4 linked regions of the Stegostoma tigrinum genome follow. The protein of the gene in region 3 purifies or fractionates together with the protein of the main gene of each other region. This does not show direct contact. Links are inferred from orthologs where the notes say so. Each region holds a gene or a part of one and is shown on either strand. Other genes may lie near its edges. The genes, in order: cdh31, anapc13, cdc27 and anapc7.

Region 1 (7,695 bases), on a different chromosome or scaffold from region 3:
TAATGACAAATACAAGAGGTTGAAAACAGAGGCAATTAACAAAACAACAGCCTGCCCAAAAAAAGATGTATCAAAATTAATCAAATGTATTAAGTTTTAAATTAATTTTAAAATTAAATTTAAATTATTACAGGGTAGAAAGGATTTCTAGGAAAAAGCATCAGCTCGTAGCTCAATATCAGACACTCAAGCATCATAAGCATGCATTTGGAGACACACCACTGACTATTTCCACTATAACTCAAGTTTTGGCTTACATGATAAAGGCATACAGAGTGAAATGAAGTGGCAAGACTTGTCATTTCCCACAGTATATGAGCTATCATACATTACATCAAAAAACATTGAAACAAAAGTACATTCATCTCTAAAAGCCAAGATAACAACGTGTGGAGCTGGATGAACACAGGAGGCTGAGCAGGAATGCTGACGTTTTGGGCCTAGACCCCTCATCAGAAAAATCGTTTTTTTTATTTCAAAAGAATGAAGGAGATTATTAGTCTTATTCGTGTTTAGGCCCACAATGTCAGCTTTCCTGCTCCTGAGATGCTGCTTGGCCTGCTGTGTACATCCAGCCTCTCATCTTGTTATCTCAGATTCTCCAGCATCTGCAGTTCCTATCATCTCTAAAAGCCAAAATACCAGTTGCAGTAAATGAAAAGGAACCATTTTCCTTGTTATACAACTCTTCACGCTTTTGTTGTCCTGATCACCGTGAAATGACGAACATAAACAAAAATCACGAGAATTTAAATTGACTAGAGACAAACATAGTAAAACAATTGGCAAGAAAACAGACACGCAAGATTGGACACATTATTTTGTCATGTGTTCAGAAAGTCTTTACAGCATTTTGACTACCCAATTCATGCATAATAACGAATCTCTTCAACGCACACAAATCCCTCTTCACAATAAACCACTTCATCTGCATGCTTTGTAGTCTTGGTTTGGAATAATATTTGAGTCATTTATATTTATCCTGATAATACAGAGAGGGCATGCGCATAAACTGTGTACAGACAGCAAATCTCGTTCATTGACATTGGAATGTAGCACTTGATTGAATAACTGGAAAAAGTTTTTTTGTTGTCAATTTGACTTCTATAAATAAGTCAGAGTGCAATGTGACACCAAATTAAAATGTGTTGATGAGACAGCAGTAATTTCTGACAGGCCACCCACACGAGTTTTTAAGAAAATGTCTTGGCTGTTTCCACAATGAAAGCCATAAGTACGTTCCCCAAAGGGACCTCAGAAACTTTGGAGAACAAATCTCAACTGAAATCCAAGGACTTCAAAGTTCAGTTTCTCCAAAGACTGACCAATTAATTTCAGTCGAGGGACAGAAAACCTTTGATAGAAAGTATTTGTTTTAGTGGCCCTATTCTCCGACAGGCAGAAGACATTTTCAGGTGAGCTGGACTTTGTTTTGTGAAACTTGGGTGGCATCCATTTTGTAAAATTAAATCAAGTCATCACACAGGGGATTTCAACAAGTAGAGAAAATAAGGAGCAAACAATGGAATCAATTACCAATTTCCCCTGAATGAAGTTAGCAGGAATTTATAGAATGAAAAATAGGACAGCTGGTTAAAACGTAAAAGAGATAATTCAGTGCTTTAAAAGGGATCACCTAGTTGGTAAAACGCATTATAATCTGATCGGGGCTGTTTGGAAGCTAAAAGAGTGTTCCGGGGCTTTTCCCAGAAAATTAAATTAATTTTGTACAAGCCTTAGGGTGATTTTGACAACGTGTTTCTCCGACTTAGCTGTACTGAGCAGATGTTAGTAACAGTAATTCACTGACCACAGCATTGTGCACCATGATTAGTTAAAATTTTGTAGAGAAATTAAAATAATATCTATGACACACACTCGAGACCTCTTTAGATTAGATCAGGGGGTTGTTAGTGTAGAAACGCTGATAGAACTCTCTCATCCGAGCTCTCCTTCCTTTCACTGCACTCGAAACACAAACAGTCCACTAGGAAACAAACAGGGTCCCCACTCATGTTAAAACCTGAAATTTCCTTGCCAATATTGGAGAATTTGGGAATATAAAAGGTAGCACGGCTATAGTTGAAGATTGAACAAGAAGTTGAACAAAAGGCGAGACCAGCAGAATCGAAAGTCCAGCCACCGCCCTCAACACAGGCAGCAGATATTCTCTGTGAATGTATTTATCACCAATTCCTCCGGTAAAAGAGAGGGGGGTTGCGAAAAGAAACGGGATCTCGGATTCTTCTACAACCGAGGGCACTTTTAAAAAAAATTCAATTCCTTCTCACTGGATCCCTTTTTCTTAGGGATCCGGAAAGGATTCTCGATCCCTTTTCTGTGTTCCCACCCCCAAGGTTCTCAGTCTCGCTTCCGCATTTCTCCGTGTGAAATCCCCGCCGATCCTCACGTACTTTCCTGAACTCTTACCTCTGCCCAGAACTTGTCCCACCTCCACTGACGGCTCCCTGAAAGTGTAGCTCTTTGGCTCGAACCCTTTACATCCAGTCGATGCCTCGCCGCTCCAAACCTGTGGATACGGACAGGTTAACATCAAATAAAAGTACCAAACACAAATCCATCCTTCCCCTCCGTTTACAGCTCACACCGGGTCCCCCGCCGCGGCAACGGGGATAATTCGCACTCGCTCGGATGAAAGCTCAGCCGATAATGAAATTGATACGAAACTGAAGATATGGAGTGCAGGGCTAGGGGAACCGTGTAACAAACCGGAGGTCTTGCCCCCCTCCCTTCGCCAGAATTCAGATGTACACGGTCTAACCTCGTGAGAAGTAGAACTCACTCACCTGGAGCAGGAGGGTGACTATCCCCAGAAACGACAGCCTGTAACTCCCCATTGGGTTACGAGTCAGTTTCCAAAACGCGTTGTGCCTGTTGCCTCTGAATTCCACCTCCTCGTTCTCACTGACTTTCCCCTTCTCTCCGATCACCATCCTTCTCCAAAACTGGAAGCCAATCGCTGCCAATCCAGGTGACGTCTCCAGGTGAGTTTCTCTCTCATTGGCTGACGCCCGGATGCTTGTATCCAATTTTGGGTAAAGCTGGCGTCAGGTAAAGGCGGCGGCGACGCACCGACGCTCTCAGCTCCCAGTGATTGAAACTGTTGTAATAAATTCCCCCACTCCCAGTTTCAGGGGAAGGTGGCGGAAATGATGCCGTTTACTGGAAGGAGCGGGCATCAAAATAACTTGCTAAGTGTAAACTATCTGGACAGCGGCCTCTTGGAAAGTTGGCATCAATCCCATTTGTGTACTGTGGATCTGGGCAGCGCCTGCATTAATGTCGAGTTTGACCCCAGCACAGATCGGTGAAAAAGGAGGTTACATTCCAAACAAGGGTGACTGGAGTAGACAGTGCTAACTTAAGGCAACTGTTCTGCATATTTGGAGAGAATTCAAGTTCAGATATTGTCTATCGTGAAGCCATTCTAGATGATGAAATGTATAGGAGTCATTTCTCTGTAAACCAGAATTTCTAGAGAGGAGGGCAGTCTAGCGAAATTTAGTCTTTCATCAACCCTCCCTTGTTTCTGGCGTGGATCAGCAGCCCCGATGTTAATTGAGTCAACTTTAGCAGATTCTCCTTCATTAGAAGTTAATCTCGAAATCTCCCCGTCCTTTTGTACCCCTTTCAGGACACTCCTTACAACTGTTAAACGTGCTTTAGAAATACATGCCGTTGTTTCAAATACAGAAAACCTTATTCAGTGTTTTTTTTTCCAACCAGGACATCATCATGCAACTATTGTGTCTGTATATAAACACTTGCTGCTTGACAGTAGAGTCCGCAGGTACATAGGATAGTGAAGACGGGATTTAGCCTGCTTGCCTTTGTTGCTTTGAGTAAAGGAGTTGGGAGGTCATGATACTGATGTGCAGAACGTTGGTTGGGGCTCTTTTGGAATACTGCATTCGATGTTGTTAAAGTTTTAAGTGTTCAGTAAAGATTTACAAAGATGCTGCCAGGGTTGGAGTGTTTGAGCAATAGGGAGAGGCTAAATGGACTGGGGCTATTTTCCCTGGAGCATCAGAGGCTTATAGAAGTTTGTAAAATGATGAGGAGGCATAGATATAGTGAATAGACAAGGTCATTTCCCCAGGGTGGAGGAGTCCAAAACTGGAGGGCATAGGTTTTATGTGAGGAGAAAGATTTAAAAGGGACCTACGGGGCAACATTTTCACCCAGAGGGTGGTGTGTGCATGGAATGAGCTGCCAGAGGAAGTGATGGAGGCTGTTACAATGACAACATTTAAAAGGCTTCTGCGTGGGTATATGAATAGGAAGGGTTAAGAGAGATACGGGCCAAAAGCTGTCAAATGGGATTAGATAAATTCAGGAATAGTAGGAACTGCTGATGCTGGAGTCTGAGGTAACAAGGTGTGGAGCTGGAGGAACACAGCAGGCCACGCAGCATCAGAGAAGCTTTCCTGCTTCTCTGATGCTGCCTGGGCTGCCATGTTCCTCCAGCTCCACACCTAGATAAATTCAGGATATCTGGTAGGCATAGACGAGTTGGACGAAAGGGTCTATTTCCATGCTGTATGACTCTATTTAGTAGATATCTGTGACATTTCATCATAGCTAAAATTTAAAAGGCAGTAAATGTAAATAATTTCTTCCTTTATTGAACTGCTGCAGTCTGTGTAATCAAAGTAAACCACCTATACTGTTAGGGTGGGAGTTCCATGGTAATGACCCAGGGACAGTGAAGCAACAGCAATACATTTCCAAGTCAAGAGAGTATGTGTTTTGAAGGGAATTTGAAGGTGGTGATGTCCTCCCACATCTGCTAAATCTGCAGTAGAGTTATCTCCCTAAAGGGCGTAGACCTGGATTTGTAGGTTGCAATTGACAGAAAATGCTCCCAAATTCATTTATATGTAAAATCACAAACAAGTAGTCACAAATTGACCTCAGAGTACATCTACTTAGATTACTTCCACTCTGGGAATCACTGGACAATGGCTTCAAAAGGATATATCCTGTTAAGTAGAGTGAAACAATGTACTGGCTGCAGCTGGAGGCTGGTGGTATGGCAGTGAGGCAGTGGAAGAGGACTGGGACTTTGCAGAGATCGAAGGGAATAAAGAGGGGTAATGCATTAGAATCAACACAGACATATCTTGTTGGTACCTTGCCCAGAGGACTATTAGTTATGTCAGCAAGATTTTCAGCAGGAAGTGTTGGGATTGGTGAGCACGCAGCCAAACAAGGATGATGTAGTTCGAGTTCTTGTGGTCAATCACACATTTATGAGGGTTTTGGCTGAGAAATTGGATCATTCCTCAATTGAGGCGTGTTCCAGATGCAGCATTGACTGCATGCAATGTAAGCAACCAGTGGGAAGGCCACAAAACATTGAGCACTTATATACTAATGAGGAAGACCAATGTCAGGCGTGGCTGAAAAATGAGAACTGTACAAATAAGCTTTCAGGCCTTGCTCTGTTTACGGTGTGGAGTGAATCAATAAAAATATTTTTCAATGTGTTTACAACGTTGTTAGAAATAGCAAACAGAGGAAATCTTTATCAATATATTTGGATGTCACCACATGGAGTCTATGTACCAGAGGAAACATTCTCTAAACTATTTAAGAACGATGCAGTTAAAGTTTCTGTGATCAACTAATGTGTCTGTGAGGATGTGGCTTTTGGTGTGAAATGTAATCCTGAAACAGTTGCTGCGCTGCATCTAATCCAGAAATGGAAAGAGAAATGATGCTTTTGTAGCCATGCTGATTGGAAAGTTAATCAACAGGGCATTTTTATCTATCTTTACCCAAAGCTTCAACTGAGTTGCTCACACAGTGACACTTGCCTGTTGCGAATGCAAGAATCTTTGCACTGCCTAAATCACCAACATTGCTGATGAAGGAGGAAATTGAACATGCCTGTGTGTGTACACTTCCTAGTCCCTGCCACTTTCTATTTGCAGTTTTTCAATTTTACCCTAGATATTCTGAAATTGGGACAGAATAAACATAGTTATTAGCTTGTAGGGTATATTTGTACACTCACTGTTTAGGATTGGCAGATGCCTGGATTGGGGAGCAAAAAAGTCAGTCTTAATACATATTGATCCTGGTATGTGGGGTTGGGAGCCTGTTTTGATTCTAACACCGATGTGTCAGTACTTAGAAAGCCTTTCCAGCTTACCACATCTCTGTGCAAAATTTAATTCTGTAGCTGGCTTGGGATCTTAAGGAATGCCTAAGATTAAAAAAATTCTGAATTCCCTTTACCAAAGCAAACATTAACATTGAATTTGATCATTTTCTTATGAAAATTGTTGCTGTAATGGGATGGGGTAGGAATATTCCTCTCCCCTGCGCCAGTGTACTAACACCTGATCTCATGAGCTCTTGCTGCAGTCCTGTGAAAGGAATTTCACAGTTTGCAACACAGATTATTGTGCAATATATCAGCTTACTTTGAAGTTGTTGGTGCCACATTAGGCTCTTTTCCAACACTTTGTGCTTTGTGTTCTTGTTAGAGAATTGGTTTCTATCTGCAGGCTGACTCAACAGTACCCTATTACTTGCATGCCTGTACATGTAGCATATGACCTAGTAAAAAAATTACATATAGTATTATAAAATAGTCTTCAAGTCAAGAATTGGCAGGTGCTGTATTTTCAAGGGTGTGCCATTTACATGATAAATAAAATTGTGTCCTCCCTGCTCCAGCAAGGCTGCATAGATCATATACAACTATATAAAGCTGAAGTTGTCCAATATTTGTCTCTTAACTGTTACTACCAAAACCAAATTGCTTTGTACCTCATAAAATGATTAGTGTAATCACTGACTGGAATACTTTTGAATGCTTGGAAGAAGAGGTCAGGTTTTACATAGATGTAAGCCAAATTTCTTGTCAATCACTGAAACAATCTAGTATAATCAGTCATAATTCTGATGTTTGTGCAGATACTTGTCACTATTCACAGGCAATCCTTAACAGATATCCATCCCAATAATTAATCATCAGTCTAAAATAATTTACTGCACCATTTTTAGAATGTTTTTTCTTATTAATCATGTCAAGCTGTAGAATCTTGAGATGAAACAAAAATCTTGCCATTTATTAGACTTTAAGATGTGCCTCAAACAACATCTTCCCGGTGCTTGAATGTACACAATTATGGTGTAGTGGTGATGTCAGTGCGATAGTAATCTAGTACTTGAATTCAGTATTCTGGCAGATGATGACATTGTAATTCAATAAAATCCTAGAATAAAAAGCTATCATTAATGGTGACAGTATAACCACTGTCCTTTAGTCGTCACAAAAAAAACATGGATCACAAATGTGCTTTAGGGAAGGACATCTGCCATTCTTACCTGGTCTGGCCTACAGTAATGTGATTGACTCTTAACTGCTGTCTGGGCAATTAGGAATGGGCAATAAATTCTGGCCTAGGCAGTGATGCCTATATGAATAAACAAAAAAATCCAAATCTTAATTAGCCACAGAGTTTACTTATGTAAGACCAACGGAGGATTAGATAGGGTGGACAGTGAGAGTCTTTTTCCGAGGATGATGACTTCAGCTTATACGAGGGGGCATAGCTACAAACTGAGGGGTGAAAGATTTAAGACAGATGTCAGAGGCAGGTTCTTTACTCAGAGAGTGGTAAGGGTGTGGAACGCCCTGCCTGCCAATGTAGCTAACTC
Region 2 (7,192 bases), on a different chromosome or scaffold from region 3:
TTTGCCACACATATGTGGGGACTGCTGTCACTTTTTAAACTGTTTTTCATTCCAATCACATTTTATCTTTTTCATTCCAAAACTAATAACAATGCACCTTCATACAATTAATATTATTTTAAGATACTATACAAATATAAATTCTGTACGTACTAGTGGTATTTCCACATCTTCATATGGCAGTTTGTCCTCACGCCATGCATCATCAATAAGATCCAGAATTCTGCCATCTCTTTGTACTTCACTGTCCATGTGTCTTGGTTGACACTGTACGCAAACACAAAACAGAAAATACAGGATTTAGTAAACATAGAGCATACGTGCCTGCATTTATTACACTTTCACCCTGGCTCATCTTGAAACTTCTAGCTCCTTAGCTTTTTACTCAAAGGAAGCAAGTCTGTCCCACCCAATACTCTTATCAGCCCTGGTTCAGTTAGTTACACTTTCATCTCCAAATTAAAAGATTGTATGTTAATGTTCCACTAAAGGTCTTGAGCACAAAACCTTTCATGACACCGCAGTCAGTTGCACTGTGAGAAGTGCTGTCATTTGGATAAGATATTAAACCGATATTGCATTTATTTTTTCAGATGGATGTAAAGGATCCCCTGACCCTATCTGCAAATGCAGCAGGGGTGTGATCTGGGCATGTCGCTCAATATCTAAATTTTCAAACTCATCACAAAAAATATTATCTAGATGTAACAGTGATGCTACTTGTGGGAGCTTGCTCTGTACAAATAGGGAGGTGGTGGCCTCGTAGTGTTGTCAATGAAATAGGAATTCAGAACCCAAAACGAATATCACACGACAATATTCTGGGGACGTACATGTTGACGTCACTATGGCAGTGAAATCTGAATTCAATTAAAATCTGGAATAGAGAGCTACCGTAACAGTAAGTGGATAACCACCACTCAATAACTCACCGGGTTCACTGCGGTCCTTTAAGGAAGGAAATCTATATCCTTACCTGATCTGTCCTAGATATGACTCCAGATGAACAGCAATGCGGTTGATTCTTAACTGCTTTCTAAGTAGTTAGGAATGGGCAATAAATATAGACCTAAGCAAATTCCACATCCTACAAAAGAATAAAAATAATTACATCAATATGCAGCAAAACTTCTGGCTGCGAAACAAGTTGTAAAATCATGAGGTTGTGAAGACTACTAAATGAATGCAAGAATTTTGTTTGGATTGACTGACATAAAATTTGCTGTTGTAATTTGCCTTTTAAAAAATTGTGACGTACATACTGAAAATCAGTTTGCTCAATGGGATAGTTAGGACGTGCTGACAGCTAATTCAATTAACAATATGTGGCAGATACATTACCAGACAAAATCTAAGCTAAACAGCCCATCGAGTCTATATTATTTTACTAGCGCCTCTCCGTTTACAGAGAGAAAAACAGAGTTTAAGCTTTAAGACCTACATTCCCTTCAGAACAATATTAACTGTTTTCCTCTCTCCAGATGCTCCCAAACCCAAGTTTCTTCAGCACTTTGTTGATATCCCTTGATTTTTCTAAGTGTTTTCTAAGTGTTTCCTTCAAATGATTTTGCATCTTTGGCCTTTGCAACATATTCATTTAAGCTGGACTTGAAGATTATGTTGCTTTGTTTCAATTTTCCCCAAGAAGTTTCTCCATTTAACATTGTACATCTTGGGAGTAAAATCTTTCAATTTCATTTTCAGATAACATAATTATACCAAATCTTCTCATAGCTCAATTCCTTAATCGTGGATGAATTTTTACTTTCATCACATTTGGACATCACCAAAGCTAGTATTTGTTGATCTTCCCTAAGAAGTCCTTCTCAAAAGACTAGCACAATCTTCTCAACAGATTCAGCATGAACTGTACTAAGTCAACCTTTTCGGTTTCCATTAGGCTTTGTTATCCTACATGCCAAGCATTTAATCAAATACCTCAGGTCGCTTGGGTTAATAAAAATCTGGTCACTCGCACATATACTGTTTGTGGGTGCTTCCTGTGTATACAGTACATCAATGGCGACTTCAGAATTTCTTCATTGGCTGAGGATCTGTATGGACATTAAACATGTTATAGAAATGTAAGTCTGTATGTCTTTGCTCTGATCTCCTGACTCCGCTTGAAACTTCAAACGTGCCACCTCACACATCCATTGGGTTAAAACAAGTAAATGAACCCAGCTGTGTGCCGTTCTGAGGAAGGAACATCGGGATAGAAACATTAACTCTGTTTCTCTCTTCACAGACCCCGTCCCGTCCCTCCCCCCACCGGCGCTGCCCCCCCCCCCAACCGTCCCACCCCGACCCTCCCAACCTGTCCCGCCCCACCACCCTGTTCCGACCTGCCCTCCCACCCTGTCCTGCTCCGCCCCTCCCCACCGTTCATTCCCGCCTCACCCCCGCCACGTCCGTCCCACTCCTTCTGCCCGTCCCTACCCTCCCCACCGCCCTGCCCCTCCTCCCTCCCCAACCCCCGCCACGCCCTGCCCCATCCCTCCACACCCCACCCCTCCCACCACTACCCTCCCCTCCGCGCCGTCGTGCCCCTTCTGCTCCAACCCCCACTCTTCGTCCCACCCCACCCCCACACTCACCCCGCCCGCATCCCCCTGCCCACACCCCATCCCCCCGCCCGTACGCCCCCCCAACAGCCCCCGCCCCCCGTCTCCCCCTCCCCCCGCCCCCCCCTCCTCGCCCCGCCCCGCCCCCGTCTCACCCTCGCCCCGCCCCCCGTCTCACCCTCGCCCCGCCCCCCTCGCCCCGCCCCCCGTCTCACCCTCGCCCCGCCCCCCTCACCCCGCCCCCCGTCTCACCCTCGCCCCGCCCCCCGTCTCCCCGCCCCCCGTCTCCCCCTCGCCCCGCCCCCGTCTCCCCCTCGCCCCGCCCCCCTCCCGCCGATATACCGTCCGGGACTCTCCCTCACCCCCAACAATCCCGATGAACGGTCCGGCCTCTCCCTGCCTCCCGGTCCCCCCCGATGAACGGTCCGGCCTCTCCCTGCCTCCCGGTCCCCCACGATGAACGGTCCGGCCTCTCCCTGCCTCCCGGTCCCCCACGATGAACGGTCCGGCCTCTCCCTTCCTCCCGGTCCCCCCCGATGAACGGTCCGCCCTCTCCCTGCCTCCCGGTCCCCCCCGATGAATGGTCCGGCCTCTCCCTGCCTCTCGGTCCCCCCAGATGAACGGTCCGGCCACAATCAGTAAATAATTGGAGTGAAGTGTTTGATTTCCGATGGAAGCTCACAGACTTTCAGGCGATAACAGAGTGTGGAGCTGGAGAAGCACAACAGGCTAGGCGGCGTCAGAGGAGCAGGAAAGTTGACATTTCGGGTCGGGGTCCTTCTTCCGAAAAAGGCTCCGGGCAGTGATTTTGCTTCTCTCCGCGCCGCGAGGTTGTTGCGGCCGTTTCCGAGTGAACAGCACTTTCCTTTCAGTTTTATTTTGTGCCTGTTCAGTTTTCCAGCCTGTCTCGCCCCCCCTCTCACTGACAAACTCCATGCTCGCCTCCTCAGCCGTGAGGTTTGTTTTCGTCGTTTTCTTTCCTGAGCCGACAAATAACGGAAAGGCCTGAGCCATCCCCTTTAAGTCGGGTGGCCCTTTCCCTTTAAGCGGTTGCCTAGTGACGGAGGCGGGAGGCCCAGGGTCGGTGAGTGGATTGCAGCGGGGTAGGGGACGGCAGCATTCACAGACTTCAAACAGCACAGTTAAAGTGAAATATCCCTGTGAAATGAACATTTGAATTGTAATATTGAAGAGTGTAGAGCTGGGAAGTGTGGCTGGAGTAGATTTAGTGTAGTTCTGGTCGGACAGACTTGGTTGGCTGAATGACCTTTCCTGTGTTTTATGTTTCTGTAAAATGTGGGCACCAGGGGCATGGCCAGCATTTGTTGATCACCTTTGCCTTTTTAAAAAAAACTTGAATGGTATTTCAGAGGGCAGTTACGAGTCTACCAGATTTTTGAGGGTGAGGGCGGCATATGTCCTTTCGTCAGAAACTTTGGTAGACGGATTTTTAATCAGCAAGGGAATCGAGGAAAATGGAGTTAAGGAACATCAGACAAGCTGCGATCCCATTGAGTGGTGGAGCAGACTTGAGGGCCGAATGGCCTACTTCTGCTCCTGCGTATAATGGTCTTACTGTCTTAAAAATCCATCTGGTTCACCAGTGGTAATTCCTGACACTAACCTTCAGTTCCAGATTGTGAAACTCCAGATTGTTAAATTCCAGTTCTTTTGGTATTAACATTTTTGATTTTTTTTAAAAGTAGTAATCTTAACAAACAAGGACTGGCTGAACGTTTTCGTCAAGGCGACTTGGAAAGACTTAGAATTCAAGCAACAAAGGACAGATTTCCACTTAACAGCACCTTTTACAAATTGAGAATGGCACAAAGTGCTGATTAAAGGATATGAACAGCATGACTTTGTATGTTCCCAATGGCAATCCACTGAATTAGTTTACATTTGCTAACTTTGAATAGAAAACTGAAGCGTAGAAATGTCATGTTTTGAAATGAAATTGATCTGTAGTCTGATGTAATACCAGTCGATCACATGTCTGAAGAATTCGAATGATTACGTTTTCTTTATTACAGTAATCCCACAGTTGTCTTTAGTTTTGTGTTTGGCACACTGGAATCTTGTGATTGGTGTCGACATCAATCTATCCAAGGGGATTTACCAGGGTGTTGCTGGGAATAGAGGGTTTGAGATCTAAAAATAGATTGGCAAGACTGGGACTTTTTTCACTGGTGAGTAGGAGGTTGAAGGGTGACTTCATTGACATCTATGGAATAATGAGGGTCATAGATAAGGTGGGTGACAAGGGTCATTTCCTGAGGGTGGGGGAGTTCAAAACTAGGGGACATATTTTTAAGGTGAGATTAAAAATTCAAAAAGGACATGAAGGGTAGCTCTTTTACACAGAGTTGTTTGTGTGTGGACTGAACTGCCAGAGAGTGGTGGAAGCAGGTATAGTTACAACGTTTAAAAGTCGTTTGGATAAGTTTGTGAATAGGATAGATTTGAAGGGATGTTGGCCAAGGACATGGGCGACTCGGACTAGTTTAGATTGGGAATATGATCTGTATGGACTGGTTGGACCAAAGAATCTGTTTCCATGCCGTATGATGCTGTAACTATGTTTTGGGAATATACAAGGTCATTGCACCATGTTTATATTCTCTGTTCAACACTTGATAATTCTTGCTGAAATTTTCTGCTTATTTGGACCTGAAACAACTATCGTATACTTAACTCAAATTGCTGATTGGAAAAAGTGTTTGACAATAAGCTCATTCAGAACTACATTTCCAAATCCAAGTTTCTGTGGAACTGGAATGATAAGCTGTGAAATAGTATTTTTACAGAATACAACCATTTGTGGAACAACTGAAATTATTTTACTGCTGGCCAGCTGCAAATCTCAGAGGAGCCAGTCTTAGTGGAAGCATCAGGTGTCAAGGTGCACAGTGAATTTGCATTTTTCTGCCTTTCAAAAAAAAAATTGGGAAGTTTTCCAATTCTCAGAATATAGTGGATTTTTTGGCTTACTTGGTAACATTACTATTTGAAAAAATCATTGCGTTGAACAGTAGATTGAACAATCATTGTGCCTTTGACATAAATTCTCCTGATTTGCCTTCCTCAACCACAAAAGAAAAAAACTTCTGAATATTGTCAAGCTTTTATGAAAATGTTTTGCAGTTGAGTGATTCCAGTTTTCAACTGGATTTTAGGGTACCTTTTCACAAACTTTGGTTGCTGTAAGAGTGTGCTTGTGATTCTGCTGAAAGTAACTTTAGATAATAGCAGGTACTTTCTGGGGCTCAGGATTTCATTTATTTTTCTGTCATCAGTCAAGAATGCCTTTGTACTTTGGCTCAGATCTTTGTTGAATACATTTATTGTTAAAATGTTGGGCTGCAGTGATCTTGTGAAGAAGTTTACAGCAACAGGGCTATGGAGGTGTTGGCATAATCATGCACTCAACTTCCTACATCTCATCTAGATTCCCTAGCTCGCTTGCTAGACCCATTGATTCCCAAAATCAGCTTTACCATGTATGGATCTTGATCCCACCATCTTTAGCTCCCTAAATTTTTGTCGTGATGATCAGACAGCTAATATTAGCATGTATTCATTTTAATTGATTCATTAATTTTAAAACGAAATGATAGCAGTTAAGTTTGAACAATCAGTCTGATCAATAAAATATATGTATCTTCATTATTGTGAATAGTCAGTTGTTTTCCATCTTGGAATCTTGGTTTTATTGCATTAGTTGATTGGGCCTGTGTGTTTTGTAGTACATGGACTTTTGTGAAGTTTAAATGAATTTGAAATAAATGTTTCCTGGATTCAGATTAACACCTGATAGATTTGCTAGGAAAATAACATTTTGATAGCTTTTGTTAAAGTGGTTTATTGCTGTTTGGGGAAAAATGTTCAAATCTCTGTAGTAGAAAATCAGTGACATGTTTGTCATATATGCTCCCACAGATAAGTGATGATGTGTTTTAACGTGATTTCTGAACAAAAAAACTTCAAGAACTCCTTCAAAATGTGTTCTATAATTGATGGTGAACATTGACTAATGGGATTGAAATCAGTATTGTGGTTTAATAGTATTTTTATTACAATTTCCATATAACCATGTTGTCTAATATTTTAAACATTTTGCTCAATGCTGATGTTTGGGGAACAGTTTTTCCTGTTCTGGAATCTCAATGCTATTTTGACAGTCAAGCTCGCTTTGTTACAATGCGGTGTTTCATTGGCAATATTATATATTTTTCTCATTATAGGATACAAAAAGGTTGAAAAATCAAAGATGTCTCCAAAAAACAAAAAACGTGGTGGAAATGGAAAATCAAGTAATACTTTTTCCTATGTTTTGCTAGTGATTCTATGTTCAGTGATGATGGTAACTTAATGTAATGGCTTTGTAACAGATGAGCATCAAGGAATGATGTATTGCGACTGTGATGGTTATAACAGAGCCATTCTAAGAGTTTCCCTTTTTGCTAAATTATAGGAAATTATATGGGGAATGTTTATGTTTTTGAGCTTGTTATAATTTTCTGCCAGTTCCTTCCATGTTGCTGTCTTTTTGAATCCACTGGTCCCTTGGTTCAGTATAGCTCCAGAGTTTAGAGCATCTCTATCCCTCTTTAAAGATGATAATTATT
Region 3 (7,747 bases):
ATTTGTTATCCTCCAGTCTTCTTGCACCCTCCCCTCCCTGAGGCCAGAGAGGAATTAAAAATTTATGCCAGTGCCCCTGCAATTTCCCACAGCAACCTGGGATGGAATTCATCCAGGCCAAGGGATTTGTCTGTTTTTAAGTCTGACAGAGCCTCCAATTTCCTTTCATTTCAATTCAATTCCAATCATTTCGTATGTTACATTGCGCAACTTCCTCAAATAATGCCTTTTCCTGAATTCTATACCGACATTCTCCTTGAGGATAAAGACTGAAGTGACATATTCATTCAACATCCTTTCAATATCCTGCTGCTTCACACACAGGTTGCCCCCTTGGTCCCTAATGGGCCCTATTCTTCCCTGAGTTAACCTCTTCCCTTTAAAATATTTATAAAATGTTTTAGGATTCTCCCTAATTCTGTTTGCAAATAATTTTTCATGTCCCCCTTTTGCTCTTCTAATTGCTTTAAAGTTGCCACCTGAACTTCCTGTACTCAAGTGCCACAACTGAATTGCTCCCGTTAGACCTGGCCTACTCTTGTTCCTTATCCAGTCCTGATTTGCCCTAAACATCCAGGATTCTCAGAACTTATTGCCCCTTACCCCTCAAGGCTAAGTGCTGGGCCTGTAGAATGTACTTCATTATCACTTGAGCTACAATACAGAAGTACAGAGGGACACATCTTGGTGTTCTTATAGAAAAGGGATTAAAGGAATGCAGAAGCATTACCTACAAAAGGTAGTTACCACAGTAGAAAGGTTTCAAATGACAGTCCATTTTCAGCAGCTCAGCACATGCGCCAGGCCCAAGACCACCAATTGTCCTGTTTTGCTCCAGCCTCCAGTCTGCTCCTCAATGGCACTCAGCAGCCACAAAGCTAAGTTGCACTTGACCAGGATTCATCCCTTAGCCCCTCCAAGTATTCTCCCCAGCTCCTTTCTGAATATCACCCATTGCTTCGCTGTAGATTTACCTGAAAGGCGATGATCCCCATCCAAGGTTAGTAGGCAAGAATGGCATTGGTGACTGCAATCCCACCTAACTGAACATCTTTGAAGTACCAGGTCCTGAATAGATCAAAGTTCTCCAGATGTGGCCTAAATCAGAACTTGATATAAGTGTAACATAACTTCTAGCCCTTTTCATTTCAGTCTTATACAGACTATAGATTGTTCTAATCTTTTAAAGTTATTTTCAAACCTGTCCATTAGTTTCTGATTGTTTCTGCATATGAAACCCTAAATGTCTAAGATCAGCCATGATTAGCTTTCTACAATTTGAGTAACACCTTTTGTTTGAAATGGAACTGACTCTGACTAGTTTCTGTGCTGACAGAGAAACCATCAATCACCACCTCCTCGTCATTGGCCCAAAGCTGCTGGATGCTCCTCAAGATCAGCAAAGCAGTTACAATACACCGTTCAAAAACATACAAAGCTGCTTGTAGGCTAGGACAAAGGACACAAAGTACACACTTGCAAAGATATTGCATTTTCTGCAATTCTGTGGCCAGTTGAATAATATTTTGAAATGTAAACTTGTAGGAAAAGCAGTCACCAGTTTTCACACAGCAAGTTGGCACGAACAACAACTAGATGAATGATCAGATCATCTACTTTAAGCAATGTCAGTTGGAAACTAAAATACTCAAAATTCAATCAAAATCAACATTCACTCAAATCAAAGTTACAGACTTGGGCCTCAACTTCCATTCTATCACTATTTCTTGCCCTCTCCTTTCTTTCTCATCCCTTTGATCTGAAGAACTTTTTCCTCCAAAAACTGACATGTATATTTTCCATAGCATTCAAAGTTTATATTCACTGAACGAGCACAAGCTGATGTTTTTCTGATTGCAACTAAGAAAAATCAGCAACTTGGCAAAATCAGTCAGCTCACAGTAATTCCAGACTCGATCAACCAACTTGACAATGTTCATCATGACACGCAAACTAATCACCACAGATCATGCAAGCGTCACGTGTTGTCCATTTAGAACAGTTTTCTAAAGGTCATGCATCTTTGGAACTCTCAAGATCATCCAGCAGATTCTTCAAATGCTTTAAAGTCAAGGCAGAAAACTTCTTGTTAAGCAACAGGGTGAAAAGTTATCAAAAAAGTAGGTTAAAAACAGATCATCCATGATCTTATTGAAAGACAAAAGAAGTTCAAGGAGCTGAATGATCTCCCCTGTTGCTTGCTCATATGTTTCTACTACCTGCAGAGTTTGTAATCATTAGTACTCCATTCTACATAGCTGAAAATTTTCTTCCCCCATATACACAATGTTTCGAGCCAATTATCTCAATCCTACCTCATGAAACTTCGCTGTTCAGAAGTGAACATTCCAACACCCACCATTACACTCTCAGCACCTACTAAACAGGAAGAAAGCAGTTAAATTCCAACAGGACCATCACCAAAAACTAAGTATTTTCTGTTTCTCTCGAAACCTGCAGGATTGCCTTAAAGCTCTGCGGGGAAGAAAAAGGATAGCAATCTTCATACCGAATAGGCGTGATCATCCTGTTAACAAAACATGCCTAACTGTTGTATTTGCCTCAAAATCGTTTTTTTTAAAAAACCAAGGAGTAAACTAGGCCTGACAGAATGCTGGATTAACATAAATCCACCAAACAGTACCGCTGTTTGGAAAACAAAAAGCTTTTCCAATTCCAGAACCACGGCTCTAATACAGACTTCATAGCCAGTTTAAAAACTCAATGACAATCAGTCCCCTCGCACCCCCTCAAGATACACAGGCCCACTCCTCTGGCCGGACCGCGCCAGGCCGGGAAGGTAGGAGCAGGCGGCCCACTCTTCACACACACGGGTCGGACTTGTAAGTGACAGCGGGCCTGGAATCCCCAGGGCCGTTTTACCTGAACGGGTTCCTGCAGCACTGTCATGATGTAAGAACCAGTCTGTACCAAGTAGCGCGGCTTCTCATCACACACAGCTCGGCCCAGGATTCAAATTTCAACAGTCACAGCCACCGTAGCCTAACGGCCAGCAGGACGACGACACACCGGACGGAAATCACCGAGTTATGCCGGGAATTGCCGAACCTTGTCGGGAATCGCCGAACGCTGCCGGAAGTTGTCGCCTCACGACCGGAAATTAGTTAGGTGAGAGTTGTGAGGAGTGAGAGTGGAGGGCGTATAGTCCTGAGTCCATCCCAGCTGATGGTAATATTCTGCAGGTCACCTTCTACGGTGATGCTCACCTCGTGGACCGTAAGATTTAATATTGCTTTTGCTTCCTTCGCTGCTGTGAGCAGTAACTGGAAATTTCTAAAGAATTGCCAGTGTATTGCAAATTCTTTTCGTGCAGATGGAAACCATTTGGCCCATTGTGCCTGCATTATCACTGCGCCATTTTGCTGCTTTTTTCAACGTAAGCCTGCATATCGTTACGATTTAAATAATCGTCTGACGCCCTCTGAACGCTCTGAATCTAGCTCCTGTACACTTCCAAACAGTGCATTCCAGGCACAAAAACAGAAATTGTTGCAAAAGCTCGGCAAGTGTGGTAGCATCTGCGGAAAGAAATCAGATTTACGTTTCGGCTTCAGTGACCCTACCTCAGAACTCTCTTCCTCATTCCAGACCCTCATTCCTTGTGTGATGGAGTTTTCTTCGTGCCCCACATTTGCTGTGTTTGCAAATCATTTCACTACTGTAGTCTAGGTCTGAAGCAATCAAGTTGGGTGACCCTGACTTACACAGGAAATCTAGGTACAATTTTCACAAAACTATTAGGGATGCCAAAGGACAATACCAGGCTCCAACTCCACACTGCATTGACTGTGACTCCGGCATATGCAGTTCTTACCATCTCCAGGTGATTGAAAACCCAAATGTGAAGCCTTTTCCCAGGATACCCACCCTGAGGAAGTTGTCCTCCTCACTCCAAAAAAATCAAGGATCTCTCCCATTGCAAACCACGGATGACTCTTCAGCCCTGAAGCTCTTCAATTACATACTAAAACAAATCCATTACTTCAACCTGGGCTTCTTCCTGTATCATAATGACACCACATGCAAATTGGAGAAACAACACCTCATATTCCACCTTGGGAGCCGATAGTCTAATGGCTTCAACATAGATTTCGCCAGTTTTAAAATAGAACATAGAAAAGTACAGAACAGTACAGGCCCTTCAGCCCATGATGTTGTGCCGTGGAATATTCTAATCCAAAAATAAAATAACCTAACCTACATTTCCCTCAATTCACTGTTATCTATGTGCATGTCCAGCAGTCGCTTAAATGTCACTAATGTCTCTGCTTCCACGACTACCACTGGCAAAGTATTCCATGCGCTCACAACTCTCTGGGCGAAGAACCTCCCTCTGACGTCTCCTCTATACCTTCCTCCTAACGCCTTAAAACTATGACCCCTCGTGGCAGTCAATCCTGCCCTGGGGAAAAGTCTCTGGCTCTATCCATGCCTCTCATTACCTTGTACACCTTGATCAGGTCACCTCTCTTCCTCCTTCTCACCAGAGAGAAAAGTCCGAGCTCAGTCAACCTCTCATAAGACAAGCCCTCCAGTCCAGGCAGCATCCTAGTAAACCTCCTTTGCACCCTCTCCAAAGCCTCCACATCTTTCCTATAATAGGGCGACCAGAACTGGACACAATATTCCAAGTGTGGTCTCACCAGGGTTTTGTAGAGCTGCAGCATAACCTCACGGCTCTTAAACTTGATCCCCCTGTTAAGAAAGCCAAAACACCATATGCTTTCTTAACAACCTTATCACCTGGGTGGCAACTTTGAGGGAGCTATGCACTTGAACACTAAGATCCCACTGTTCCTCGACACTGCCTAGAATTCTGCCTTTAATCCTATATTCAACATTAAGGTTCGACCTTCCAAAATGCATCACTTCGCATTTATCCAGGTTGAACTCCATCTGCCATATCTCAGCCCAGCTCTGCATTCTGTCAATGTCTCGCTGAAGCCTGCAATAGCCCTCGATACTATCAATGGCACCTCCAACCTTTGTGTCATCAGTAAACATAGTAACCCACCCCTCAACCTCCTCATCCAAGTCATTTATAAAAACTACAAAGAGCAGAGGCCCAAGAACACAGCCCTGTGGGACACCACTCAGCACTGACCTCCAGGCAGAATACTTACCATCTGCAACCACTCTCTGCCTCCTGTCAGCCAACCAATTCTGAATCCAGACAGCCAGATCACCCTGTATCCCATACGTCCTGACTTTATGAATGAGCCTGCCGTGGGGAACCTTATCAAATGCCTTGCTGAAGTCCATGTACACCACATCCGCTGCTCGACCCTCGTCAACCTGTCTCGTGACTTCCTCAAAGAACTCAATAAGATTTGTAAGGCATGACCTGCCCCTCACAAAGCCATGCTGACTCCCTTTAATCACGCTATGCTTTTCCAAATAATCATAAATCCTATCCCTCAGAATTCTTTCCAAAACCTTGCTGACCACAGACGTATGACTGACTGGTCTGTAATTTCCAGGGATTTCCCTATTCCCTTTCTTGAAAAGAGGAACAACATTTGCCTCTCTCCAATCTTCTGGTACAACTCCCATGGAGAGTGAGGAAGCAAAGATCTTTGCCAGTGGTTTAGCAACTTCCTTTCTGGCTTCCCGGCGCAACCTAGGATAAATCTGGTCTGGCCCTGGGGACTTATCAATCTTAATGTTTGCAAATCTCCCCACCCCCAGCCTCATCCCGTGTCCAAGCCTCCTCCTTGACCTGACACAACCTGTCCATCTTCTTTCTCACATATAACACAGTGTGGAGCTAGAGGAATGCAGCAGGCCAGGCAGCATCAGAGGAATCGGAAAGTTGATATTTCGGATCAGGACCTTTCTTCTTTTTCTGAAGAAGGGTCCCGACCCGAAACATCAACTTTCCTGCTCTTCCAGCTCCACACTGTGTTATCTCTGACACCAGAATCGGCAGTTTTTACTATCGTCTTTCCTACCTATACACCCCACCCTTCCCACTGACCAATCCCCACTACCCTGCATCCACCTATTACCACCTTCCTCCAGCCCCACTTCCCTCCGTCTATTTCCCAGCTCCCTTCCCCCTCCCCAGTCCTGAAGGGCCCCAACCTGAAACGTCGGCTTTGCTGCTCCCTGATGCTGCCTGACCTAGAGTTCCTCACTGTATTGACTCTGACTCCAGCATCTTCAGTTCTTGCTATCTCCTAAACTAGAGTACCAGACTAACCACACAAACACACATCTACTGTGTCAAGGGTTACATGATATAATAGGCTACAAAACAAAGCTGAATACAATCGGTAACAACAATGCTTGTCTCCCCGATGAGCTCAATGCATTCTATGCTTGTTTTGCACCAAAAGTGGTGAAAAATTGTCACCTATGAAAACCAGCCTTCCTTCCATTGAATCTGTCTACAGTTCCTGCTACCTCAGGAAAGCAGCCAACACAATCAAAAACCCCAGCTATATAAATGCCAAATGAACTGTGGATGCTGTGAGTCAGGAGCAAAAACAAAGTTGCTGGAAAAGCTCAGCAGGTCTGGCAACATCTGACCCTCCCTCAGAACCCAGTTATATTCTCTTCCATCCTCTTCCAGGCAGAAGATACAAAACTTTGAAAACACAGACCAAATGATTCAAGAACAATTTCTTCCTTGCTGTTATTTAACTTATGAACAGACTTAGAGTTACAGTGCCGTATAGCTTTATCGCGCCATAGTGATGTGTACCTTTCAGTCCAACCCATCTATGCAGACCAGATATTTGCCAGCATTTGGCTCATATCCCTCTAACCCTTCCTATTTATACACCCATCAAGATGACTTTCAAATGTTATCATTGCAGTAGCTTCTACCACTTTCTCTGACAGCTCATTCCATACAAGCATACCCTCTGTGTGAAAAGGTTGCCCCTTAGATCCTTTTTAAATCTTTCCCCTCTCACTTTCAACCTATACCCTCTCATCTTGTTTATTAGAGTTGATCGTTCTCTTCATCTCTGTAACTGTATTCTGCATTATGTTCTATTACCCCCCGATGTACTTACGAATGGTATGATTTGACTGGATAGCACATGAAACAACACTTTTCACTGTACTTTGGTACATGTGACAAATAAATCAAATCCAATCTTGATCCTTTTTTTAAGCAGCAACGATTCCTGCCTGTTTACTCTGCCCAGAGCTTTCAAGTTTTCATATTTTTTCATTAATGGGATGTGCTTGCTGTTGTCTGGACCAGCACTTGTTACTCATCCCTAAAGAAGGTGGTGGTGAACTGCCTTCTTGAACCACTCCAGTCCTTGTGTCATTGTTAGGAAGGGATTTCCAGGATTTTGACCCAGGAACCCTGAAGGAATAATGATGCAGTTCGATGGCCGGTTGGTGAGTGGCTTGTGGTGTTGCCAAGTTCCATGTTCTTTTGAATGAGGTTGTCGGCTTAGTTTTCTCTCCAGGGAAAACAGTCACAATCTCTCCAATCTGTTGTCATAAACTGAAGACAACCATCCCTGGAGCTATTTTTTTGAAATCTCTTCTGCACTCTTCCCTATGTATTCACTTCCTTTCTAAAGTGTGGCACGCATAACTGAATACAAACACCAGCCGAGGTCTAAGTTATGCCTTTACTTAAAGTGAGAAATCACACAACACCAGATTATCCTACAATTTTATTTGAAATCACAAGCTTTTGGAATGCTGCTGCTTCATCAGCTCTGAAAGCTTGTGATTTCAAATAAAATTGTTGTAGGAT
Region 4 (7,284 bases), on a different chromosome or scaffold from region 3:
ATCTTAAAAGAACATCCAAAATTATCTGTCAGATATTATAAAAGTTTTTTTCTCTTTGTTCATGGCACGTGGGCACCACTGACTAGACAAGCATTTACTGCACATTCATAGTTGCCCAGAGGGCAGTTAAAAGTCAATCAAATTGATGTCATATGTAGGCCAGACCAGTTGAAGATGAGTTTCCTCCTCTAAAAGGGCATTAGTGAACTAGTTCAGTTTTCCCAACAATTGACAATGGTTTCATGATCATCATTAGACTCTTAATTCCAGGTTTTTATTGAATTCAAATCTGCAACGACATGATTCGAACCCAGAATGTTGCCTGGGTTTCTGGATTAATAGTTTGGCAATAATACCATGCGGTCATTGTATATGAAGAGCTTTAAGGGAGGTAATCAGAAACATCTGCCTTTATCTCTTCTCTTTCCAGAGGTTTAACAGTTTGTTTCAAGACACCATCATGAGTCGTACAGCACAGACACAGATCCTTCAGTCCAATCAGTCTAACCCGAACATAATCCCAAATTAAACTAGTCCCAGCTGCCTTCTTCTGGCCCTTATCCCTCCAAACCTTTCCTCTTCTTGGTTATCCAAATGTCTATTAAACACTGTAACTGTGCCACATCCACCACTTCCTCAAAGTTCATTCCACGCGTAAACCACCCTCTTTAAAAATTTGCCACTCATGTCTTTTTTAATCTCTCTCCTTTTTCACCTTAAAAATGCATCGTTTAGTGCTGAAATACCCCATGCTAGGGAAAAGATACCTACCATTAATCCTATCTATACCCCTCATGATTTTATAAACTTCTATAAAGTTACCTCTCAACCTTATATACTCCAGTGAAAAAAGTCCCAGCCTATCCAATCTTTATAATTCAAACCTTCCATACCCAGCAACATCCTGGTAAATCTTTTCAGAACCTTCTCCAGTTTAATAATATCCTTCATATAAGTGGATGACCAGAACTGCACACAGTGCTCCAGAAGCGGTCTCACCAATGTCATCAACATGAATTCACAATTCCTTTAGTCAAAAGGACTGAACAATGAAGGCAAGCGTGCCAAACACCTTTTTAAACCACCATGTCCATCTGGTGATACAAACTTCACAAAATTATGTACATGAACCCCGAGGTCCCTCTGTTTACTACTAGAATGGTTGCATCTTTTAAGACCATAAGACCATAAGACAGAGTGGAAGCAAGGCCATTCGGCTCATCGAGTCCACTCTGCCATTTAATCATGGCTGATGGGCATTTCAACTCCACTTACCCGCACTCTCCCCGTAGCCCTTAATTCATTGCAAGATCAAGAATTTATCAATCTCTGCCTTGAATAAATTTAACATCCCGGCCTTCACTGCGCTCCATGGCAATGAATTCCACAGGCCCACCACTCTCTGGCTGAAGAAATGTCTCCTCATTTCCGTTCTAAATTGACCCCCTCTAATTCTAAGGCTGTGCCCACGGGTCCTAATCTCCCCGCCTAACGAAAACAACTTCCCAGCGAAACACAATGAAATATAACACCAAAATTCAGGTAAATGTAATAGGCAGGTTGCAGAATCAAAGTCCTAGTTACATTGAGACAAACAGCTTTCTGGCACTGCTGATGGCGGAAGGTACATGAACTATGCATCAGAATTCCTCCAATTCTCTGATCAAATTAATAGAACTTTCAAAATTGATATGGCAAATAGGACCCTAGATTTAACATTTTACCCAAGGTCAATTTTTCCAAATACAAACTAGTCCATCCCCACGAATAGATCAACAAATTGTAATAAAAAGCATCCTTAAAAAAGAAAACAGTCCATCATACTTTACATGGTTTGGAGAGAAACTAGTATCAAGCTATGGTGAGAATTGCAAAGGTTATTGAAAGTTTAGCAATAATGGCTTTACCCAAAACATTAAAAGAAGGTCGAAAGCACTGCTACTAGAGGTGAAGAAAAGTAAGGGTTGGAGGTACAAAAAGCCAGTCGGAAAAAAATGTAGAGATTGGGATAGATTCAAACAAGCAAGACTTATATTCAGTTGGCAAGTTTGAATTCAATGTGTTGGTGGGGACACAAAACCAACATAGATTATACTTTTGAATCTTCAGAATCTATTTAATCTCTATCAAAAATCTATTTAAACTTACAAATCAATTGAGCTAGCATCCACTATCATTTGTAGAAGAGTTCCAGACCACAATACTGTATATAAAGTAGTGTCCTAATATCACCGTCTCTTGAAAAGCTCAATCAAATCACCCCTCAACTTTTAAATTCCAAGGTTCACTTTAAAAGAAACCTTAAAAGAAAAGTTCCTTTTTTGTTTACTTCTTCCTTGCAATAAAAGTATCATTTGAGTAAATCTATATTACACTCTTTACAAGGTCTATAATCCTTTCTAAGGGATTATGCCCAGGACTCTGTTTTATTTCAGGTAATGGTCTAACCTGGGCCTTAGTTAACGGAGCATGGCTTCTACCCCTAGTATTTTAGTTCTATGTTTATAAAGGCCAACATTCCCTTCTGATTGAAGTCATAAAAACTCACAGAAGCTTAAATCATTCGGAGGTGACAATACTATATGGCTGGAACACGTAATGATAATACAATCAAAGGCTTGGACTGTCACACTCCATTCACCATTCAGTTTACACCAGTGGTACCTATGAACCAAGACTTTTTTCTTTCACCCTTCCACTTTGAGACTAGAACAAAATCATTTTAAGCCTCAAACTTTTAACAGGTTCGGAACTTATTTGGAGATGCGGGAGCAAACTGCATTTTAAAACCATACCATGTCAGGGGGAGAGGATTCGGAACACATAGAATCAATTGAGAGAGAACTCGCCAGGTAAAACCAACCACTTACGGATTATTGTCGCTCATAGTCAGTAACAGGCTACTAAGTAATCTCACGTTGGAGTAAAGGCCAGCGGCCACCATATCCCGAACGTGGTCAATAACGTTCATCTTTTCTTCTGTCAGATCAGTGCTCTGAGTGAAGACGACGCTAAAGCAGTAGCACTAACAGCATCAAAAATGGCGCTGTGGACCTCCCTGCAGCTAGAGCTGCTCACTTTGCGCCTGAATTACTATGATTCACCGTGGCAGTGCAGTGTATTTTTTTTTCGTAACGTACTTAATAATTAAAATTATATAGCTACGTTTGTTTGCCAACCGCGAGATTAGAAATAGCCGTTGAAGTAAAGCGGCACATGGCGGGCAGCTTTGCGTTGCTAGGGGGAAGGCGCATGTGCGGCTTTGATGCCGGAGCCGGGATGTGAGCAGCCTGTAAGGCCGCAGGCCGAGGCTTGGTATAGCGTGGGCCCGCAAGGCTTGGAGCGGTTGCTTCTGACTATCTACCTGACCCACCTACTTTACCTTTATTATTTGATTTTCATATTTTACTTGGTTTGATCCGATCCTTGAGTAATGACAGACCAGTCCGCCCTGCTCCTTAGGAAACAGTTGGCAGGTACGCGACGCCCTTGGGATCTCAAACTTTGCTGCAGATGTGAGTTGTGGCTGGAAGGACTGTTGTTGCTGCTGAGTCTCGACCCCCTTTCAGCTCCCCACTTCCTTCTGACTATTTTCGTTTTGGCTATTACTATATGTTAATTGTTAAAAGAGGAACATTTGGGACGTTATTTATGTTATGTCATCGGTCGTCAGACTCTTTTAAAAGTCATTGTTTCGTAACTTTTTTTACCGCTTCCCCCTCTCCTTCCCTCCGCGTTATCGCTATGACAGACTGGCAAAGTGTCTTCCTGGAATATTTTGCGGCCACGGGACTGCAGTCATTTTTGGAAGATTGGCAGTTTATACGCACGAATTTTACAGGCGTCAAAGTTATAGAAAATCCAGATGTTGTCAGTCTGACGCGATTGTAAAATCGAAAAATCGTTATGGCGCTTCACAGCCGCGAACGCTGACATGATGAATGTGTTCTTACTTTTGACCAGATTGCATATCTTCTGTTCGCTTTCACTGCGTATTACAGTTGCCTGTTGCTAGTCCCCTGAAAGACTTGAATTGTTACATGTTATGGAGTCATAGTCATACAGCACTGGAACAGGCGCCTCGGCCCAACTTGTTCATGCCGACCAGGTTTCCAAAACTGAACTAACCCCATTTGAGATAATGGGAACTGCAGATGCTGGAGATTCCAAGATAATAAAATGTGAGGCTGGATGAACACAGCAGGCCAAGCAGCATCTCAGGAGCACAAAAGCTGACGTTTCGGGCCTAGACCCTTCATCAGAGAGCATTTGCCTGCGTTTGGCCCATGTCCCTCTAAATCTTTCCTAGCCATGTACCTGTCCAAATGTCTTTTAAATACCCACCTCTAACACTTCCTCTGGCAGCTTATTTCATATATGCATGTTCTATATACCCTGTCTGAAAAAGTTGCCCCTCAGGCTCCATGTAAATTTTCCCCCTCTCACCTTAAACCCTCTAGTTCCTCTCTTCTCCCCCCAGCAAGGGAGAAGACTTTGGCTATTCACCTTATCTATGTCCCTCATGATTTTATAAACCTCTACAAGGCCACCCCTCGGTTCCTACGCTCCAGGGAAAAACATTCCAACCTCTTCTTATAACTCAAACCTTCTAATGTTGGTAATGTCTTTGTAAATGTTTTTGCACCATTTCCAGCTTAATAACATCCTTTCTACAGCAGGACAAGCAAAATTATATGCAGTACTCCAAATGTGGCCTTACCAATGTCTTGTATGGTTGTAGCATGATGTCAAAACTCCTGTACTCAGTGCCATGACCAATGAAGGCATACATGCCAAATACTGTCTTCACCAATCTATCTACCTGTGTTACCACTTTCAAGAAATCATGTTTGCACCCCTAGGTCTCTCTGTTCAAGAATACTCCCCAGAGTGCTGCCATTGAGTGTGGAAGTCTTGCCCTGGTTTACCTTACCAAAATGCAACACCTCACATTTATCTGAATTAAACTGTATCTGCCGTTCCTTGGTTCACTGGCCCAGTTGATCAAGATCCCATTGTACTTTTGGGTAACCTTCTTGACTGTCCACTATACCACCAATTCTGGTGTCATTGCCAAACTTACTAACCATGCCCCCTATTTTCTTATCCAGATTGTTTACATAAATGATGAACAGCTGTGGACACAACTGATCCATTTGACACACTGCTGATCACAGGCCTCCAGTCTGAAAAACAACCCTGTACCACCACTTTCTGTTCCTACCATCAAGTCAATTTTGTATCCAGTTGGCTAGCTCTCTCTGGACCCCATGTGGTGTAATCTTACTTACCAATCTACGATTGTCAAAGGCCTTGCAAAAGTCCATGTAGACTGTTCTGCCTTCATCTACGTGGTCATCGCTTCAAAAAACTCAATCACATTTGTGACACGTGATTTTGCACAAAGCCATGCTGACAATCCGGGATCAGTCCTTGCTTTTCCAAGTGCATGTACTCCCTGTGTCTCTCAATCCCCTCCAACAACTTACCCACTACTAATATTAGGTTTACTAGTCTGTTATTCTCTGTCTTTTCCTTCACCCTTTCTTAAATAATGGCACGTTAGCCACCCTCCAGTCTTCCGGCACCTCACTCATGCCTGTCAATGATACAAATACCTCTGCTAGGGGCCCTGCAGTTTCTCCCCTAGCTCCTCTCAATCTCTGGTGTTACACTGGATCGATACCTTTGTCCTTTGAGAACCTCTAGCACCACTTCTTCTGCAATGTGGGCTTTTTTTCAAAACATCAGTATTTATTCTCCTGAGTTCCTTAGCTTCCATGTCTTTCTCCATGGTAAATACTGACAAGAAATATCTGTTTAGGATTTCACCCATCTTCCATGGCTTCACGCACAGATGACCTTTAAGGGGCCCTATTCTGTCCCCGGTTATTCTTTTGCTGTTATTATACTTGTAGAATCTCTTTGGATTCTCCTTTATCTTAGACATTAAAATTATCTCCTGCCCCCTTTTCGCCCTTCTAATTTCATTCTTAAGGTACTCCTATACTCCCTATACTCCTCAAGGGATTTACTTGATCCCAGCTGCTTATACCTGACAATTGAGGTAGCATGGTGGCTCAGTGGTTAGCACTGCTGCCTCACAGCATCAGGGACTTGGATTTGATTACACCCTTGAGCAACTGTGTGTGGAGCTTGCATGTTCTCTATATGTCCTCCCACAGTCCAAAGATATGCAGGATAGGTGAATCAGCCATGCTAAAGTGCCCACGGATGAGGTAAGTTAGGTGGATTGGTCATGGGGGAATGCAGGATTACAGGGAATAAGGTTGGGGGGAATGAGTCTAGGTGGGATGCTTTTCGGGGGATTGGTGTCAAGTCAGTGGGCCAAATGGCCTGCTTCTGCACTAGGGATTCCCTGATTCGATATGCCTCCTCTTTCTTGACCAGAGCCTCAATGCAGTAGTCATCCTGTTCCCTACACCTGCCAGCCTTGCCTTTCACACTAATTGGACCATGCAGGCCCTGAACTTTTCCTTTGGTATGCTTCACATCAGAATTAAAATATAGTTATCCTCTTAGCTGTGAGAGTTGATGGATAGCATTTGGTCTTAAAATGCTGCAATACAGATTGAGGTGTGTTTTCATTCCATTCCTACTGTGACCATGAACTACAGTGGTTAAACTACTGAAATGGTAGGTAGAAGAGAAAAGTCACATTTTGATTTAATGATTTATTACTGGACAAGTTAGATCCCAAACTCTGAAATCTAGCTTGATCATATTTTGTTTATTTTTAAGAATCCCCACTGTGTGGAAGCAGGCCATTCAGCCCATCAAGTCCACACCGACCTTCTGAAGAGCATTCCACCCACACCCATCCCTTTATTTCCCACCCTAGACACGATGGACAATTTAGCATAGCCAATCCACCGAACCTGCAAATCTTTGGACAGTGGGAGGAAACCAGAATACCTGGAGTAAACCCACACAGACAATGTGTAAACTCCACAGAGGCAGTTGCCTGAGGCTGGAATTGAATCCAGGTCCCTGGCGCTCTGGGGCAGCAGTGCCAACCACCGAGCCACTGTGCTGCCTAATGAAGTAGCCTTTCTCTGAAATGCACACACACAATGCTACAGTTTCATTTCACATAAAACAAGTTTCATTACTCAAAAGAAATGAAGATAAAATAGAATAAGCCATTGAATTTTACATAAATGTAAATATTTCAAAACTCAAGGTAAAATACAATGTCATTAATCCCAAAATCACTCCTCCTTAGTACTCATACCAGAGATAATGCACTTCTATTTCATATTT

What was found.
Region 1: the proteins of cdc27 (region 3) and cdh31 purify together in Homo sapiens (affinity purification with western blotting; 4 studies listed by BioGRID and IntAct, with this or other methods). This does not show direct contact. The link is inferred for Stegostoma tigrinum from reciprocal best matches to the Homo sapiens genes CDC27 and CDH1.
Region 2: the proteins of cdc27 (region 3) and anapc13 purify together in Homo sapiens (affinity purification with mass spectrometry; 5 studies listed by BioGRID and IntAct, counting the BioPlex papers as one, with this or other methods). This does not show direct contact. The link is inferred for Stegostoma tigrinum from reciprocal best matches to the Homo sapiens genes CDC27 and ANAPC13.
Region 4: the proteins of cdc27 (region 3) and anapc7 purify together in Homo sapiens (affinity purification with western blotting; 23 studies listed by BioGRID and IntAct, with this or other methods). This does not show direct contact. The link is inferred for Stegostoma tigrinum from reciprocal best matches to the Homo sapiens genes CDC27 and ANAPC7.

The regions. Positions count from the first base shown.
Region 1 is NC_081369.1:40,081,809-40,089,503, reverse strand, and holds the start of cdh31 (B-cadherin), read right to left. Parts: upstream 3,049-7,695; 5' UTR 2,955-3,048; coding exon 2,808-2,954; intron 2,531-2,807; coding exon 2,431-2,530; intron 1-2,430.
Region 2 is NC_081385.1:20,041,304-20,048,495, forward strand, and holds the start of anapc13 (anaphase-promoting complex subunit 13), read right to left. Parts: upstream 3,062-7,192; 5' UTR 2,927-3,061; exon of another isoform or gene 2,918-2,926; intron 2,055-2,917; 5' UTR 1,939-2,054; intron 1,088-1,938; 5' UTR 977-1,087; intron 268-976; 5' UTR 253-267; coding exon 154-252; intron 1-153. Other genes in the region: thyn1 (thymocyte nuclear protein 1), read left to right, coding at 6,835-6,877. UniProt on the Homo sapiens protein: Component of the anaphase promoting complex/cyclosome (APC/C), a cell cycle-regulated E3 ubiquitin ligase that controls progression through mitosis and the G1 phase of the cell cycle.
Region 3 is NC_081384.1:40,773,062-40,780,808, reverse strand, and holds the start of cdc27 (cell division cycle protein 27 homolog), read right to left. Parts: upstream 3,035-7,747; 5' UTR 2,911-3,034; coding exon 2,884-2,910; intron 1-2,883. UniProt on the Homo sapiens protein: Component of the anaphase promoting complex/cyclosome (APC/C), a cell cycle-regulated E3 ubiquitin ligase that controls progression through mitosis and the G1 phase of the cell cycle.
Region 4 is NC_081379.1:24,282,456-24,289,739, reverse strand, and holds the start of anapc7 (anaphase-promoting complex subunit 7), read right to left. Parts: upstream 3,068-7,284; 5' UTR 2,972-3,067; coding exon 2,871-2,971; intron 1-2,870. Other genes in the region: ube2g1b (ubiquitin-conjugating enzyme E2G 1b), read left to right, coding at 3,434-3,476. UniProt on the Homo sapiens protein: Component of the anaphase promoting complex/cyclosome (APC/C), a cell cycle-regulated E3 ubiquitin ligase that controls progression through mitosis and the G1 phase of the cell cycle.